Linked DNA regions of Tamandua tetradactyla. The protein of the gene in region 1 purifies or fractionates together with the protein of each later gene. This does not show direct contact. Links are inferred from orthologs where the notes say so. Each region holds a gene or a part of one and is shown on either strand. Other genes may lie near its edges.

Region 1 (7,915 bases):
AAGTTGAAGCAATGACTGTAACTTTTTAGAGAAATAAAGGGCCATTTACTATGTCCAGTGTATCTTGCTAAATACTCTAGAGATATAAGCTTGTTTAAGAACATCTTTAAGGAGCTTACCCCTTGTGAAGGGAGGGGTGGAATTCACATCTAGTAGAGGAGAGGGAAGGTTTCACTAAAGAGATTGCTTTTAAAGTAGGCCTAGAATAATGGATTGTATTTGGAGTTGCAGCAATTGGAGAAGAACATTTCATATGGAAGGTATTGGTGGATGATGAAATGCATGGGGCCTATTTGATTTCACAAGGAGTCCAGTTTGGGTCTAGCACGATATGTATAGGAAACCAGCAGGTGATAGTATGGATTGATCTATTGGAGCCAAAGTGCAGAAGACGTTTCAATACTGAGAAAGAAGTGCTTGTAATTCTTTGGATAGGAAACAAGGAATTATTAAAGGTCTTGTGGGAGTAGGAAAGTGAAGTGACCAGGATTCAGAGTACAAACAATTCCAATTTATGCACGAGTTGTGTTTCAACCACTCTTTCAGTATACTATGTACCAGGCACTAAGCTACATACTGTAGATAGAGTAATAAAAGATACAGTACCAGAATTCAAGGAATTCACAATCTGGAGGGAAAGGGAGATATAGAAGGGGAAAAAAAACTAAAATGCAATACTACAAAATCTTTAATAAGATTAAGTACATACAAAAGAATTACACAAGAAAGGTACCTAATCCAGGGGTAGGGGTGGGTCGAAGCATGGAGGGCCATAGAAAGCTTCTAGGAAGAACTAATTTTATGTCAATTTTCCTGAACTCAGTATAATTTTCTAATGTCATTTGCAAATTAGTGGTAATTTCATATGGCCAAACTTAATAAATGCTATGATGGTGTTTAGTCCCAGGTCAGACCTCAAAAGCCTATTTAACTAATAATTATCTTATAGCAGTATTTTCTAACTTCTAGATTCACAAACAAGAGATCTAGGACAGACAATATGCAAAATCTGAAATTGGAAACATTAGATTTTCAAATCCTCCCATCTCCTGTCTTGCATTTCCTTCCATTCCTTAACACTCCTCTCCCCAGGATCTCTGGTCCCAAGGCCTCCAGCTGATGTGCACAATTTGCACCCAAGCTTGATTTGTCCAAAACTTCCCTTTCTTTAGATGCTACTGATCTGTGTCAGAAAGAAAACAACCTGATTAAACTAGTCAATGCTAATGAATGGATGACTATCAAGCTCTCTCCAGAGCTATTTAAATCTTTAAGAGAGGATACTTAAGAACCTTTGATGGAATTCCAGGCACTAAAACCAGACCTTTTGTGTAGTGCAGTCACACTTTCTGTGTAAAGGCCATTTATAAGTCAAGAGTTGAGATGGAGGCTCTAACCATCCTGTGTTCCCCATTCATAGTTTGTGTCTTGGGTAGGTAAATTTCTGCTTCATATTGTACATCTAGCTTCATCTAAATAAGATTAAAATCCTGTCTGTCATTAGATAGACAAAAATGAACTATGAATTTTTTTCTGATGAATTAAAGGATTTAAATACCTTCTTCAAAAAGAATTATGACTCTTTGTCCTAAGTTGAGAAATCATGTTATTACTTCTTTTTTGTGCTTCCTTTGAACTAACCTGGTTTGAATTACTCTGTCTAGTTTATAGCATATTTGCAGTTATTTTTATAAGAGGAACTAGTTTTTCATGAAATCATGAATAATGTATATTTCGTGATTTGAATTAAATAAACAAATTTAATTGAAAAATCTAATTTACTTGGCTCCTCTTCCTTAAAATAATTACAGTATTCTAAGACAAATAAGATTTATTGCAATATGTCATATGTGTAATACTGGAAGTTTTAAGGTCATAACATTTGAAAGAAGACTGGTTCATTAAATAAATGATTCCCAAACTCAGACCACCGGATTGGCATTGGGGTGATATATAATCATTATAATAGTCATCATCACAGGTATTTATTAAGTGTTTAACTTACAACAACTCTATATGAGATATACTTATTGTCATGATAGATGAAGAAATTGAGACACAGAGAAATTAAGTAATTTGCTCAAATTTACCCAAGTAGTACATAGTGACCTCAGAATATAAACTCTGGTACTTTCAAATTTTCTCCCTCTTCCTCCCCACCCAATTTTGCTGGACAGGAACCCTGAATTAGTATTTAAGTCCCAATGTGATTCTCAAGCAAATCAGGTTTGGGAACCATCAAAAGTCAATTTACTTTGTACTGGATGTCTAGTTCCTTACCCATTTCTGGTTCATAAAGCTAATCAAATGACACAATACCCTTTCAATTGATTAGCAAACAAACATTTTGCATCTTCTTTGCACAGACTAGATAGCTTTAAAAGCACATGTGAGAAGTTGGGAAATAGGGAGAGATTACAAGATGCTTGGTAGAAGGTACAAGGTAGTCTTCCTGGGAGGGAAAGAAAGGGCAGCTGGATCTTGAAAAGTGAGCATGACTTGGAAACATAGGAAGGAGGAGGGAACTATTTCTGTACAAGAAACAAATGGAAATAAGCATTTTTAAGTGGTGATTCAAAGCTGACTGACATTTGTGGGTCAATGAGTAGGCCCAACAGAATTGGATAGAGTTGAGAGTTCCTTTTTGGAAGTGGCTGGAAATAAATTTGGAAAAGTAAATTGGGATAAGTTTATGGTAAACTTTAAGTACCAAGTCAAAGTTTAGACTGAGCCTTATAAACTATGAGGAGTCACTGAAAAGTTTGAAAGGACAAAAGTACAATGATGAAGGTATCAGTTTATAAGGAATAACCTACAGTCACTACACAGGCAAGAAGGATGGGGAAGAGACAAGAACTAGGAAAACCATTTAGAAGTTCAAAGAAATAGTATAGATGTGAGAAATAGCACAGTGTAGTAGTGAATATACATGGACTTGGGTGTCTCTGGTTGAGGTTACACCACTGATCAAACTGAGTGATTTGAAGTAAATTGCCTAATATCTCTACTCCCCAGGTGTTTCCATTGGGGAGTGGTTGTAATGATGATAATACCTACTTCCATACACAGAGCCAAAACAGAGAAAATATTTACCTAGGATGATGGCTAGCTCTGAGATGCAAGCTACATGGGTCAGTATTTTCAGTTTCCAGGCCTATGTGACAAAAAATGTTAGTATCATCAACAAAAATAGAGAAATCAGTGGACTTCTACTTTGTGGAAGATGAGGTGAAGGAAGTAAACTAACACTCAGAGAATGTTTCAGGAATTATGCTGGAATTTTAAAGGAATTAATCTTCATAAAAATCTTATGAGGTAGTATTTCTATCCCCATTTAACAGATGGCTTAATTAGAGCAAAAGATACTGAGTCTAGATGTAACCCAACGTCTGCCTAGATCTAAAACTTAGGCTTTTTCAGTCATGTCATATTGTTTTAGATTTGTGAAATTATATTTTATTTCACTGGTTTTAGTTTAATATTCTAGTCTAGTTTTTTGAGACTCTTTCGAATCTTGATTGATATCTATCAAATTAATTATCCCTCCAAACTTTGGGTCACCTGAAAGAGGGACAACAATTTCGCTGAGAGGGGGAAGAAACATGGAGGAAGGATATTTTAAGTGGAAATAGGGTAAATGGCCTTGATCAGTTAGGTGGGAAGAAGGGTTACATGCCCAGAATGAAGGTGGTTGTATATGTAACCTGGTTGTGAAGCAGACATAAAAATTGATGGAATTCTAATGAGTGAAGGGCAGAAGGAGGTTAAGATCAGTACAGGAAGCAATAAGAAGTGGAGAAGGTAGTATAGGTGGACTAAATACTTCCATTGAGGAAAAATAGAGGGTGAAGGAAGCTAACATTAAAATGAAGGCTGACCAACTCAGTGGCAAGAGTTCTCACCTGCCCAGCTGGAGACCCTTGTTCGATTCCTGGAGCCTGCCCGTGCCAAAAAAAAAAAAAAAGTTTTCCTTCAACTTGTTATTTAGAAGGGTAGGATATGAACCCAACAAGTTTTTTTAACCCCCTGCGCAAAATGGAGAATTACATATTTTTATGACAAATATATATAAGCACAATACTTCTAAAGATACTTAACAGATGTTGAGAAAAGACTGCATTTCAATAGGAAGAACCAAATAAATTGGTGGGAAATTGCTTATGAGGGAAACTACTTGGGAAGTTTCTAATGTGTGCAGCTCTTTGGGGACGCCCTCTGCATTGTGCAGAGGATTTCTGCCCAAGGTGGTACTAGAAGCTCTGTAGTGCTTTAGTTCTGAGCAAAGAAAGTTACATTCTTCATTTCTTTTGGTTAGCTGATAGGTAACCAAGTGTGCAGCAAGAGCCCACTTTCTCCAGCCTCTGCCGCCACAGGAAGTAGGGTGGTGGCTATCTGTGCTACCAAAGTTTGTATTTAATTTGAATATTTCAAGTTGATCATTATGTCCGGTTAATTTTCAAATTAATGGGTCTAACTACTTCAGACTTCAGTTAAAACTATTTTAGTCACATCTCATACCAAATTCTTAAATTATCTATTCTTGGTTCATCTTTACAAGGATAAATGAATCATTGCCAAAATTTGCCCAAAATGAGTTAGTTAAAGGATTTGATAAGGGGAGCCTAGTTGGATTTTATTTTTTTAAACACTTTAAGAGATGGTGATAATCTCAGGTTTCCAGATACTTATTCCTAAAGCCTGCAGGTGTAAAGGGTAGAGAATCTACAACATTTTACTCTAAAGTCTGCACCTGATTTTCAGGGCCACTTTCCCATCCTGGGCTTTCTTATCAGCCAGTCGGGGATATTACTTTTGGTTTATCTCCCTGTCCGACGAGGCATTAGTAACTGGGTGTAGTTGTGTTCCGTGTTAGCTTACGGGGTGTGTGTGTGTGTCTGTTGTGTGTACACTGCACACAGGAGAGGGGGCAGGAGGAGGTGCAACATCCTCTCCTTCAGGGTGCTTTGAGGGCAGTTTCTCCAGAGGCTAGTGCCACCAACTTATAAAGGTTAACCCTCCTCGTTAGGTATGAAGTGGCGGGAACGCAGTTCTTTAGAGGCCGCCCTAAGGAGAGGGAGTCCGTAAAACCTGGAGGAGGATCCCGTGCGCTCGGCTGGGGATGGCGACGCGTGTTCACGCAGAAAAGGCAATGGGCTTTCAGGTAGAAATAACTAATGCGAGCGGGGCCTCTGCAGATTGGGGGAGGGGGGTTTGACTCTTGGAGGCAGTGACCCTCTATCTGAGGCTCTGAGGGGAAAGGACCAGGACGAGTTGGACGTTTCCGGGCCCCTCCCGCGCCTCCCGCTTGTGGGGAGATGGCGGCGGCGGTTTCCCAGCTCCCCCATCCCGGACGCCGATGGCGGAGCGTTTCGGCCCTCCCCCAACAGCTTCTCCCACCCGGTAGCCTAAGCCGGTGAGGCGGGGAGGGCGGGGAGCCGAGGGAGTAAAGGCGAGAGGGCGGAGGTTGCGTGGTGCTAGCGGCAGCCGCGACGGCGGCAGCGGCAGGAGGAGGGACGGACCGGCGGGCAGGGGAGGAGGAGAAGGAGGAGGGAGCGGGTGTCGCACGCAGCTCCAGGCGGGGCGGCCCCTGTGGCTGAGGGACGCAGCCAGACCTTGGCGGGACGGGGATTTAATCGGACCCCGGGCCCAGCGAGGAGGTGAAGACGTTGCCGGAGCCTGTAAAACACCGGGGGCAATGCGGGTGAGTGTTGGCGGCGGGTTCGGCAGGCGGGGCCGAGGGGAAGCACTGGCGGCGGCGCAGGCCCGGGCTCGAGCCGCGGTGTCGCAGTGACTGGGGCCGCGGCGGCCGAGCCCAGGCGTCGGGCGAGGCCTGAGCCCACGGCGGGACGGAATGGTAGCCGGGGCTGGGGGTCTGGCAGACTGAGGACGCGAGGGGTGGGGAGGGAGCGAACAGAGACTCCAGCCCTGAGTCACTCCGGCTGGCCCGGGCCTGGCCGAGCCGCGGCCCCGGAGGCGCTCTGCGCGGCCAGGCCTGGACCTACGCACTGGGAAAAAGCCCGATTCATCGCGCCTGAAGGAGGCGGCCTTGACGCGCCGACCTCTTTCCAGCCGCGGTAGGAGAGGTAGGTGCGGCGACTGGTCCCTGGCTACTCGGGAGTCTGGTGCTTCGCCTCCCCTCGTGCAGGCAACCCCTGCGTGACTCCCCGTCTCCACGTGAGCCCCTCCGACTTCTGCCTTTTCTTCCTTGTCCCCTTCCTGGATCACTCTTCTGCCCCATGCTGCACTTTCACCCTTTACTCGTGCTCTTAAGTAAGTACTCGTCTGCGCTCAGAGAGGCTGTCCGGGGAAGCAGCAGAGCTGCGAAATAGGGCCCTTTTGCTTTCCGGTTCCCTGTCCACCGCCGGGGCTCTAGGGTTCCCAGCCTTCATTGTTGCGAGTGGTTGAGGTTGCTATTATTGGGTAATAATGGCTCATTTGCTCCATTCTCTTGCGGGGAGTGGGATGGGGGAGGGGGCACCGCGCTTGCCGGGCGCACGGGGATGCGAATGCGGCCGCGGAACCGGACGGAGCTTCTCGGCGCTCGCGGTACGCTGAAGAGTCCAACCGGGCCCTGCGTTGCAGCCTCGGCGCGTCCCCGGCGCCGCGCGGAAGCGCGCGGCGAGTGGCCCCGGAGGTAAACGGGGGGCGCTCGGCTGAAGCTGTGTGGAATTGGGGTCCCGAGCCTCGAGAGTTGTATGTATTTATTCCCAAGGCCCGAAAGTCCTATCTTGCTGCCACCTGTGTAATGCAGGCATAATTTAAAGAGAGTAGTGCTCTCTCAAATTTTTTTTGAGGTTAGTCCCCAAAGTAAGGGTTTTCTCATCGTAACTAGTTCTCTGCCAAAACTTGGATTCTTTTGAGGTTGGGTCGGTCTGTTGCTTTTAGTTCGTAGTGGTGGTAAATGTGCAAATATTGAATTGCAGTCAACTTGTTTAAGTATTTATTTGCTCTTTGTAATTGCTTTTTCCTGTAGTGGCATTCAAATAGTCAATTATGAGTGGAGTAAGTGTTCACATTATTGAAATGAACTTATTGGAGTGTCAGCTAAATTTCATTTTTACTTTCAGCCATGCGCTTCTGTGACTTAAACGTTTAACCCTCCGCTAAATTAAAAAAAATGTAAATGTAGTTTTTAATTTAACACTTCGTTTTGTGACCACTCTCTACCTGATTTTCTGAAACCCTGGAGAGTTTATGTATTGTGTAGTAAAATGTATGGTTTTGCTGAAAAAGCAAAACCAGCAGTTTTTGTTTAAAAATTTGGGTGTGAAACTAAAAAAAGGTTCCTGTATATTAGGAGATTTTTTTTTATCTGAAAGGTCTGTTTGTTGCTTTCCATGTTAAGTAGAAATAGTTGCAGCACATTTCAGATTCCGAAGCATGCAAACACAAGACCGGCTTACTTTAACTCTACTATGCCCATTTTTGGAGGTTTCACAAGAGTGCCCATTAACTTGATAGAGGTGGCCCAAACTTTCTAAAAATGTTTACATTCAGAGTAAAAAAAAAAATCACTTTCTAAAAATGTTAAACTATTTTTCATCACCAGCATCGTCTTTTTAAAAACTATTTTGCCAAAACAAACAACAACAACAAAAAAACAAGCAAACCCAAAACTTTATACTAGGATTTGTTCACCAATTTTAAAAACCCAGTCTTTCTCTCCCAGAACCACATGCTCTCAGCTTGTAGTCATGCTCCCCATTCCTAATGCTTAGCATATCAGAAGACTGAGATGAATGAGTAAGTCAGTTCTGCACCTATTTCCTTAGATTAAAGCTCATTAGTCTATATCTCTTAGTGATAATTAACATAGTCTTGATTTAGTCAATTATCACCAATACTTTTCAGTCTATGAATTCCTTGAAGGCATGGAGTATTTATTTTTGCATCCTTTGCACAGAACTTGGTCCTG
Region 2 (7,711 bases), on another chromosome or scaffold:
ATGTGCAATTAAGGAAATTACTTTAAAGACAGTCATAAATACAATAATAAAACCTATTTAACTTTACCAGTTTCAAAGACGCTAAGTATTACTATTGCAAATTTCAGTTTGAGTTATTTCCTGGGCAAAAATGTTCACATTAGTGCAAATTTTTTAACACGCAACCACATATACTTGTACTACTCTACAACTCAGCATAAATAAGCCTTGATTCCTATCTTATCTCTGGCTACCAGACTTAAAACAGAGGCGGTACCTGCAAGACTTGAAATAGTTACCATAACTAGTGTACAGTGCTTGGCACACTATCAAGGTTAAACTGGTGAATAAATAAATGAATCACCAAGAAACTTTCAGGAAACTGAGCTGAACAGAACATTTAAACACTTAAAATACAGTCAAATACATTTTTTTTTCCTGAGGCTCTTTAAGCAGGGAACTTTTACAAAGAAAAAAATAAAGAATATTACTGGTAGTAAAAACATAATAAAGAACTTATGGAGCCCATTGACAAGTATATTTCTCTTCTCAAAAAAAAAAAAAAACAACAACTTTATTTACTGTTATTTATAAGTACAGCTAATGGGAGAAGACCTGAATTTCCTACGATAACTTTCAAGGCTCTTAGAGCTTTTCCTAACTCTTTGCCCAGCAGTCATACTAAAGCGCCTTAGTTTGAAGAGCTTCCCATGCTCTCCACATTGTGGGCTCTTGCATGGGTTGCTCTCTCCATCCAGAATGCCTTATCCCTCCTCTCATTTGGTTGCATCTATTCATCCTTCAAGATTTAGCTCAGGTCAGGAATCATCCAGTAGGAAGCATTTTCTAATCCTCCAAATTGCTTCTTTTGTGTTCCCCTAACACTTGGTCTTACTTTGTATCACAACATTTATGACTGTACTAAGATTAATTTTGTCTCCTCTGTGAGAGTTACTGTACCAAGAGCAGAGATCAGGACTTATTCATTTTGTAACTGGAGAGCCAAACACACTGCTTGGTTCACAGTAAATGCCTGACTAGGCCTCAGTTGTCTCACCTGTAAAGAGAATTTGGATTTGGTGATCTCCGAGATCTCTTCTCATATGTGATATTCTAAAGTTTACCACAAATCATTTTACAGATTTCGATTATATTGAAGACTGAGTACCATACCAGGGTCTAGTACTGTACCAAGCTATAGGGATAAAAAAAAATCTGGTTGAAGAAACAAATAAAATGCTATATGAATACAATGCATGTCTCATAGATGTATGAAATGAAGAAGGAAGTCTATAATATAGGTAGCATCGTTCTTCCCCCGAGTTTCTGTGTCAGAATTCTAATCCGTTACTACTTTTACTTTTATCCTAGCCATTTAAATATTATCACAAAAACACCAAGAAACTATCAAACTTGAGGATTTTTAGATTTTGTCAAATCAAATACCACTTGAAGTAAGTAGGTCTTCAGTGGCGACCCAGAGATTTTTACTTTATTTTTCATTATCAAGTTTGAACTAAACACATCTCACTTGAGTAGCTCATGTTCTTTTGAGTAACTCATGTATTCATCAGTTTGTTTACTCCTGTTCCACAGATAAGATTATTGTGATATAAAGAATAAGAGTGCTTAATTCTGGTGAACAGAAGCTCTTCTGAAAGTGAACTACTTCTGAAAGTTTAGGGGCAAGACTAATGAGTGCTTTTTCTGCTATTCTCCAGGTTAATTTAATAATAACAACAAACCCTCAGTCAACTATTCATTTATTCAATAATTACTTGAGTATCTACTATGAACTAAGTAGTTGGGCATCATCTCATCCTTAATACTCAAACTTGGCCAAAGATTAGTTTCTCGGGTGGACAATTTATTGGAAACCAATGCGAGGCTTTCACTTGCACAAATACGGCTGCATAGGGCAGCGACTACATATTCCAGCATGCAACAGTCTCGTGGAATTTGCTCTGTCAAACTCCGGAGATTAGCTCAGTATCTTCAATTGGACGGCGCTGACGCTGCTCTGGCCCTCACGGCTGTTGGAGAAGGTTCCTTCAACTCCAAGCTGCCAGGACTGCCTGCCAACACCTCCCCGCCACGGCAATGACGCCTCACAGGGCAGGTGCGTCCTAAACGCAGGAATCCTTACAGAGCCCTACACCCTCTGTGGGTATGACTTTCCGGGGGGGGGGGGGGGGGCAATCAACAAGTGTCTCTGCTAGCCAAGATTCTTTCCCGATTTTAGATGCTGCGACGGCTGACCTTAATCTTGGCTCACTGCTCTTGATAAAATCCCTTGACAGGACGAGGGTGGTTCAATGCCCTCAGTGTACCGAGAAGAGGCATATTTCTTAGCTGTTTTGCCCCGCTACCCCCCTCCCCTCACATTGAGTCCCGGCTGAAGGGTTCAGCAAGAATGAACCTAGGGGAGTCGACAGAGCTGTGCACCGCCTCTAGGGTCAGAGATCATTGCACTGGGAGGCCGTCGTGCAGCTCCCACTCCTCCCAGTAGTCCCTTCATCCTCCCTAGGGACTCCCCCTGGCCTGGCCTCTCGCACAACCATCACCCCCCCCACCCACCCACACACGCACACACACCGCACCCAATGGGTCCCCGAGCCCGTTCCCCAGTTTACCATGCTGGCGTGCGCAGACGGCCGCGGTCCAGAGGCTCTGTGCGCCCCCCTCTGCACCACACCCCCTGGGGAGGGGTGCTAGATGTCTACTTCTGCCTGTTTGCTGCAGCAGGGCTTAGCAGAGTTCTCGGTCGGAGAAGCGCACCAGGCAGCGGCAGTAACTGCGGGCCCGGCGTACGGCAGCCATCTTCGCGGGGCAGGGGGCCAGATCGGGGCACGCTGAAGCGGCGACGGCGGCCGGGGGCTGGAGGAGCAGAGGTGCGCCAGCTGCCAGCCGAAGCGGAGGACTGTGCGAGCACTGGCGCGTCCGCCCCGCTGGAGACCCCGGACACCGCCGCGGAGTTGCCCCCTAGGCTGCGGAAACCTGCACTGGAGCAGTGAGCATGCGCAATGCCGCCGTCGCCGCTGGTCCGGCGAGCTCGGCCGGGATGCTTGGCCCTGAGTGCGCCACTGCGCCGCCTGGAGGTTTGCGGATGGGTCTACTGTGTGCGCAAGCCAGTCCTCGGGCGAGGGCACAAATTAGCCCAACCTCAGTCCACGCATTTGGTTCAGTGGGCACGCATACAGACTTGAACAGGCATTATCTCTAAAATATTGTAACCCAAATTTTGGGCTGAGACCCAGCCGGCTGTCAACTGCACTAAAGGGCATCGAAGTGGGTGCTTCGGACGGTCACCACACAGTCCTCGGGAAATCTGGCTAAAGTCCAGCGCCAGAAATGCCGCGAAACAGTGAGACTTCGCAATAGTGGCAAACTGTTATAAACAAACTTTTAAAGAGCACACATAGGTCTGGAGGTTGAGGAAAAGATGAGCTTAGGAGAGGAGCGAGCAGAGGCAATGGACAACTCAGTTCAACACGAAGATTGTCTCACTACAAATCCCATCGTGCAACGGTGGGGGGACGGTACAGTTCCCAGGCCCTGACAGTGGAATCCTGCGGTGACTTCGTCCGCGTGGCATTCAGGGATTTGTAGTCTCCTTGTCTGCGATGCGCGCGGGAGCTCACGCAATGTCCTCGCTCCACCTCTTAAAGTGCAAACTCCTGATTTAAGGCTATATTTGTCAGACTTCATTTTATTTTTCAGACCATGTTTTATTAAAAGTTTAAAAAAATTAACGTAAAGTTTGAGTGTGTTCTATGAAAACCCATAGTCTTTATAGTTTTTACTTACATCCAGCAAACACCGAGTTTTTAAAATTTCTCCTCGATGCCTGGGGCTAATAGTTATCAAGATTCCAAGACATTGAAGGAACTCATAGCGTTTAAAATTACTAATCCCTTTGCGAAGAAATGGAGGCAAAAAAAAGTTGAGAGGAGAATACTGAACTAAAATAAGGAAGACATAAGTGCCGTGTCTTAATGTTAGGATCCACCCTTCGGATGGGTGAGTTTTTATTTACACTGTACATCTATAAAAAGTATCTTTACGTTTAATCGAGGCCAAAAACTTAATAGATTTTAGTTTTAAAGGACACTCCAGAGCTGAGGATTCTTAAAACTGACATTCCTCCCAATGATTTCTTTAAAATTGGATAATGACATTTAAATTGAAGAAAAGGGTTTGATATAAGGATTTATAACAGAAGAAAATAAAAAAATGTGACATATTGGAAAGGTCAGTTTTGCACATGAAGAATGAAGTATTGAAATATTTTCAGAACTAGTCTATTTCGTTAAATCTGTTGAATATTACCTTAAGATATCCTGGTCAGTTAGCATGGATGATTTTTATTATCCTAGAAAGCAATTAAATAATGCTTAATAAAATAATTAATAGTTGTAAAGATAAGGTGAACAAATATTTTATTCAATAGCTGTTATGCTTCACAGCTACTAATTTTGTAATTTAGATCAGTTCTTGTATCCACTGGACCTCTTTATAGGGTTATATTATGTCATCATATATATTTACAGTTTTAATTTTCCTGAGTCTAGAACTTCTGTCCTAAGCCACGTACTATGTCAGGGGATCCTTGCTAAAAGTAGACCATGATGGTCCTTCTGTTGCTTGGACATCTTAATGTCACTAAGTAAAACTGAGGATTTTAGTTACTTTAAAAATCTCCTTTCGTGAGAGTATTATTAGACATATACCTTAAGAATTTGGGGATGATTTCTTAGGCTTCCTCTTGTCTCCCTGCCTTTAAATTATTAATGATTTTCAATTTATGGCAAGGATGTTTTATAGGTAAACTAGTAGATAGATGTTCTATATTTGCTAAGGGGCTAGATGACCCTTTCATATTTGGGAAAGAATGTCTGAAGAAGTGTGATTGTAATGGTCGAGAAGTGTTGGTGGAATCCCTTGGAGGGATGGGAGAAAAAAATATGGAGCTATTGGGCTTTACCACCAGGGAAGCTGCTGTTGCTGTGTCAAACATTGGGGACACCCAGGTCAATGGGCCAGGACCTTGATCTTGAAGCTTGCTCTTCAGAAGCTTGTGTATGTGGCAGAGAAGCTTGACCTACCTATGGGTATAACTGGGAGTTGCTTCTGGAGGACCCAAGTTTTGTTGCTCAGGTGTGGCCTCTCTGTTTCGGGGCCCAACTCTGTAGGTGAGTTTATTGTGCTTCCCCCTACATGGGGCATGGCATCTGGGAGTGAGGGTCTCCCTGGTGGCATGGGGGTTTCTCTTGGGGATGGGCCTGGCCCTGGCACCATGGGATCAGTGGTGCCGTCCTGGCCAGGTAGGGGCCGAGGGAGTGTGGCCGATAGAGTATCAGTGGCTCAGGGAGTTTGGGTGGAGTCGAGGGGCTCCTCTAGAAGTCACTCTTGCATAGGCTTCAGTTAAACATTGCTACCTATCATAGCTTGCCAAACCCTAACCAAAACCATTCCTGCCAATCCTAAAGAACACCTATGGCATTATATAAGATTCTATACTGGTTCCAAGCACTCGGGTAGCTTTCCAGAAATCTGCAACCTCCAGATGAGACCCTGGGCCAGATAATGCAGAGGGACCAGCCTCTCTACAACATCAACTAGTTCCATCCTCCTATCCCATATTATCAACAGCCCCATCCACCATGTGTGTGTGTGAGGGGAGGGGTGGGGCGGGGTAGAATGGGCATAGCCCTGATACCCAGGGGAGTGGGAGAGGGATCAAGAATGATGGTGGGGTTGTACAGGGATGGTGGGGTTTGGCAGATGAGTTGATTGCTGAATCATTGTATTGATGTTTCTTTTGGTTTCTGGTATCTTGGAGCAGCTAGAAGTTAAGACCTAAAATTGTGGAGTTGTGACCATGCCAGACTCTGAAATCTGTTCTGTGACTGATTGTTGTGATATGCTTTGAAATCTATTGATTTTTTGTATAAATGTTGCTGTGGTAGTTAGGTTCAGGTATCAAATTGGCCAGATGAAGGAAGCTACCTAGTTCTGTTGCTGTGGACATGAGCCAATGGCATGTGAACCTCATCTGTTGCTGATTACATCTGCAGTCAGCTAGGAGGCTTGTCTGCTGTAATGAATGATGTTTGATTTAATTGGCTGGAAGCTTAAATGAGAGAGGTCAATAGCACAGCCAAAGCAGCTCAGCATACCTCATCTCAGCACTCACAGCTCACAGCCAAGCCTTTTTAGATGCAGAAAGGATTCACTCCAGGGAAAGTTGTTGGAATCCAGAGGCCTGGAGAGAAGGCCAGCAGAGATTGCCCTGTGCCTTCCCATGTAAGAAAGAACCTCAGTTGAAAGCTGCCTTTCCTCTGAAGAACTATACATTAACAAAATAAATCCCTTTTATTGAAAACCAGTCTTTCATTGCATTCCAGAAGCTAGCAAACTAGAACAGTTGCTTTACACAAAGAAGAAAAAAATAAGTCAATTTTGATGATAAATGCACAGCAATATGATATTGTGAACCATTCATTGTACGCTTTGGATGATACATGGTATGTGAATATACAAAATATATCAGTTAAAAAAGAAAGAAAGAAGTGTGATTGTCCCATATCTTGTAGGTTTCTTCAACAGGACCAAGGAGAAAGAGGGATTTAGATTCTCCCTGGGGAGGGGGAGAGTCTCCAGTTAAAATTCCAAAGCAAAAATAATGAGAAAATTGATATTGTGATGTATTGGGAAGTTAAACTTACAGAAAGAGCCACAATGTGGCAGAGGATTGCTACCTTGTTAATTAAAATTGTGTTGCTTGTGGCAGTGGTTCCCAACCTGTATTTCCCTGACCAGCAGTATCTGTACGGGGAAACTCTAAGGGTGGGGCCCAGGAATCCAAGCTCTAACAAGCTATCCAGGTGATTGGGTTGCCTTCTGCTAGATTTTGAGAACCACTGGTTTAGGACAATTATGTAAATTTAAATCTCAGACCTCAAAGCAGTTTTTTTCCAGGCAATCCTTACATGGATGATTTAAGGTAATGTCTAGCATGTCTTGATGACATAAAGGAAAGTGTTTAAAAAGTAGATGGTGTTACATTTCTGATACCTAGATACACACTGAAAGAAAATTGTTGTGTAGAGGATACTTAGTTTCTCACCTGGTTAACAATCCAGTCTTCCAATTCTTTCAATCCCAAATTGCTAACAATATAAAAGCTCTTAAAAGTGCAAATGAATGCTGCTACCAGCTAATCGGTTGCCTTTTTTAAAATCAGGAAAACGTTTTCACCTTGATTACCTTCAGTTCAATGTTCTCAGAACATGCATCAACAGCCTCCATTTCTAAACCCTGCTATTTGATGCAACCGACTGCAGCAAGGGTGGCATTTGGAGTGGGAGGTGGCATTCGTGATCCGCTCGCAGCGGGGATCCCGGGTGGGGTCTAGCCCTTTGCAGAGAGAGGAGCGGAGCGGCTCGGCGCCCTCTGGGCGGCCTGGACGCGATGCAAGGACGCGCAGAGCCAGAGAGGGGAGCTGCAGGGTAACTTTTCCCAGGGAAAGCAGTCGGTCGTCCCCACTAGAAGCCACCCAGCCTTTTGTTTGTTTTCCTGCCGGAGGCTGGAAAGCAGCCGGGTTCCTGCTGCACCACCATGCGCCGCACGGCCCGTGCGATTCTCCGGACCTCCAGGGGGTCCCTGCATGGACCTCTCGGCCTCTCTTAGCAGGCATCACCCGGGTTTCCAGTTCCGGAGCCGGCTACTG

Evidence for each region. Proteins that work in one complex are often made in the same cells at the same time.
Region 2: the proteins of CUL1 (region 1) and FBXO9 purify together in Homo sapiens (affinity purification with mass spectrometry; 4 studies listed by BioGRID and IntAct, with this or other methods). This does not show direct contact. The link is inferred for Tamandua tetradactyla from reciprocal best matches to the Homo sapiens genes CUL1 and FBXO9.

Annotation. Positions count from the first base shown.
Region 1 is NC_135327.1:192,784,208-192,792,122, forward strand, and holds the start of CUL1 (cullin-1), read left to right. Parts: upstream 1-4,898; 5' UTR 4,899-5,161; intron 5,162-5,216; exon of another isoform or gene 5,217-5,413; intron 5,414-5,513; exon of another isoform or gene 5,514-5,701; intron 5,702-5,881; exon of another isoform or gene 5,882-6,083; intron 6,084-6,473; exon of another isoform or gene 6,474-6,693; intron 6,694-6,712; exon of another isoform or gene 6,713-6,794; intron 6,795-7,915. UniProt on the Homo sapiens protein: Core component of multiple cullin-RING-based SCF (SKP1-CUL1-F-box protein) E3 ubiquitin-protein ligase complexes, which mediate the ubiquitination of proteins involved in cell cycle progression, signal transduction and transcription.
Region 2 is NC_135331.1:111,633,682-111,641,392, reverse strand, and holds the start of FBXO9 (F-box only protein 9), read right to left. Parts: upstream 3,009-7,711; 5' UTR 2,994-3,008; coding exon of another isoform or gene 2,616-2,993; coding exon 2,613-2,615; coding exon of another isoform or gene 2,583-2,612; exon of another isoform or gene 2,222-2,582; intron 2,099-2,221; coding exon of another isoform or gene 2,080-2,098; exon of another isoform or gene 1,931-2,079; intron 1-1,930. Other genes in the region: uncharacterized protein LOC143684790, read left to right, coding at 2,583-2,993.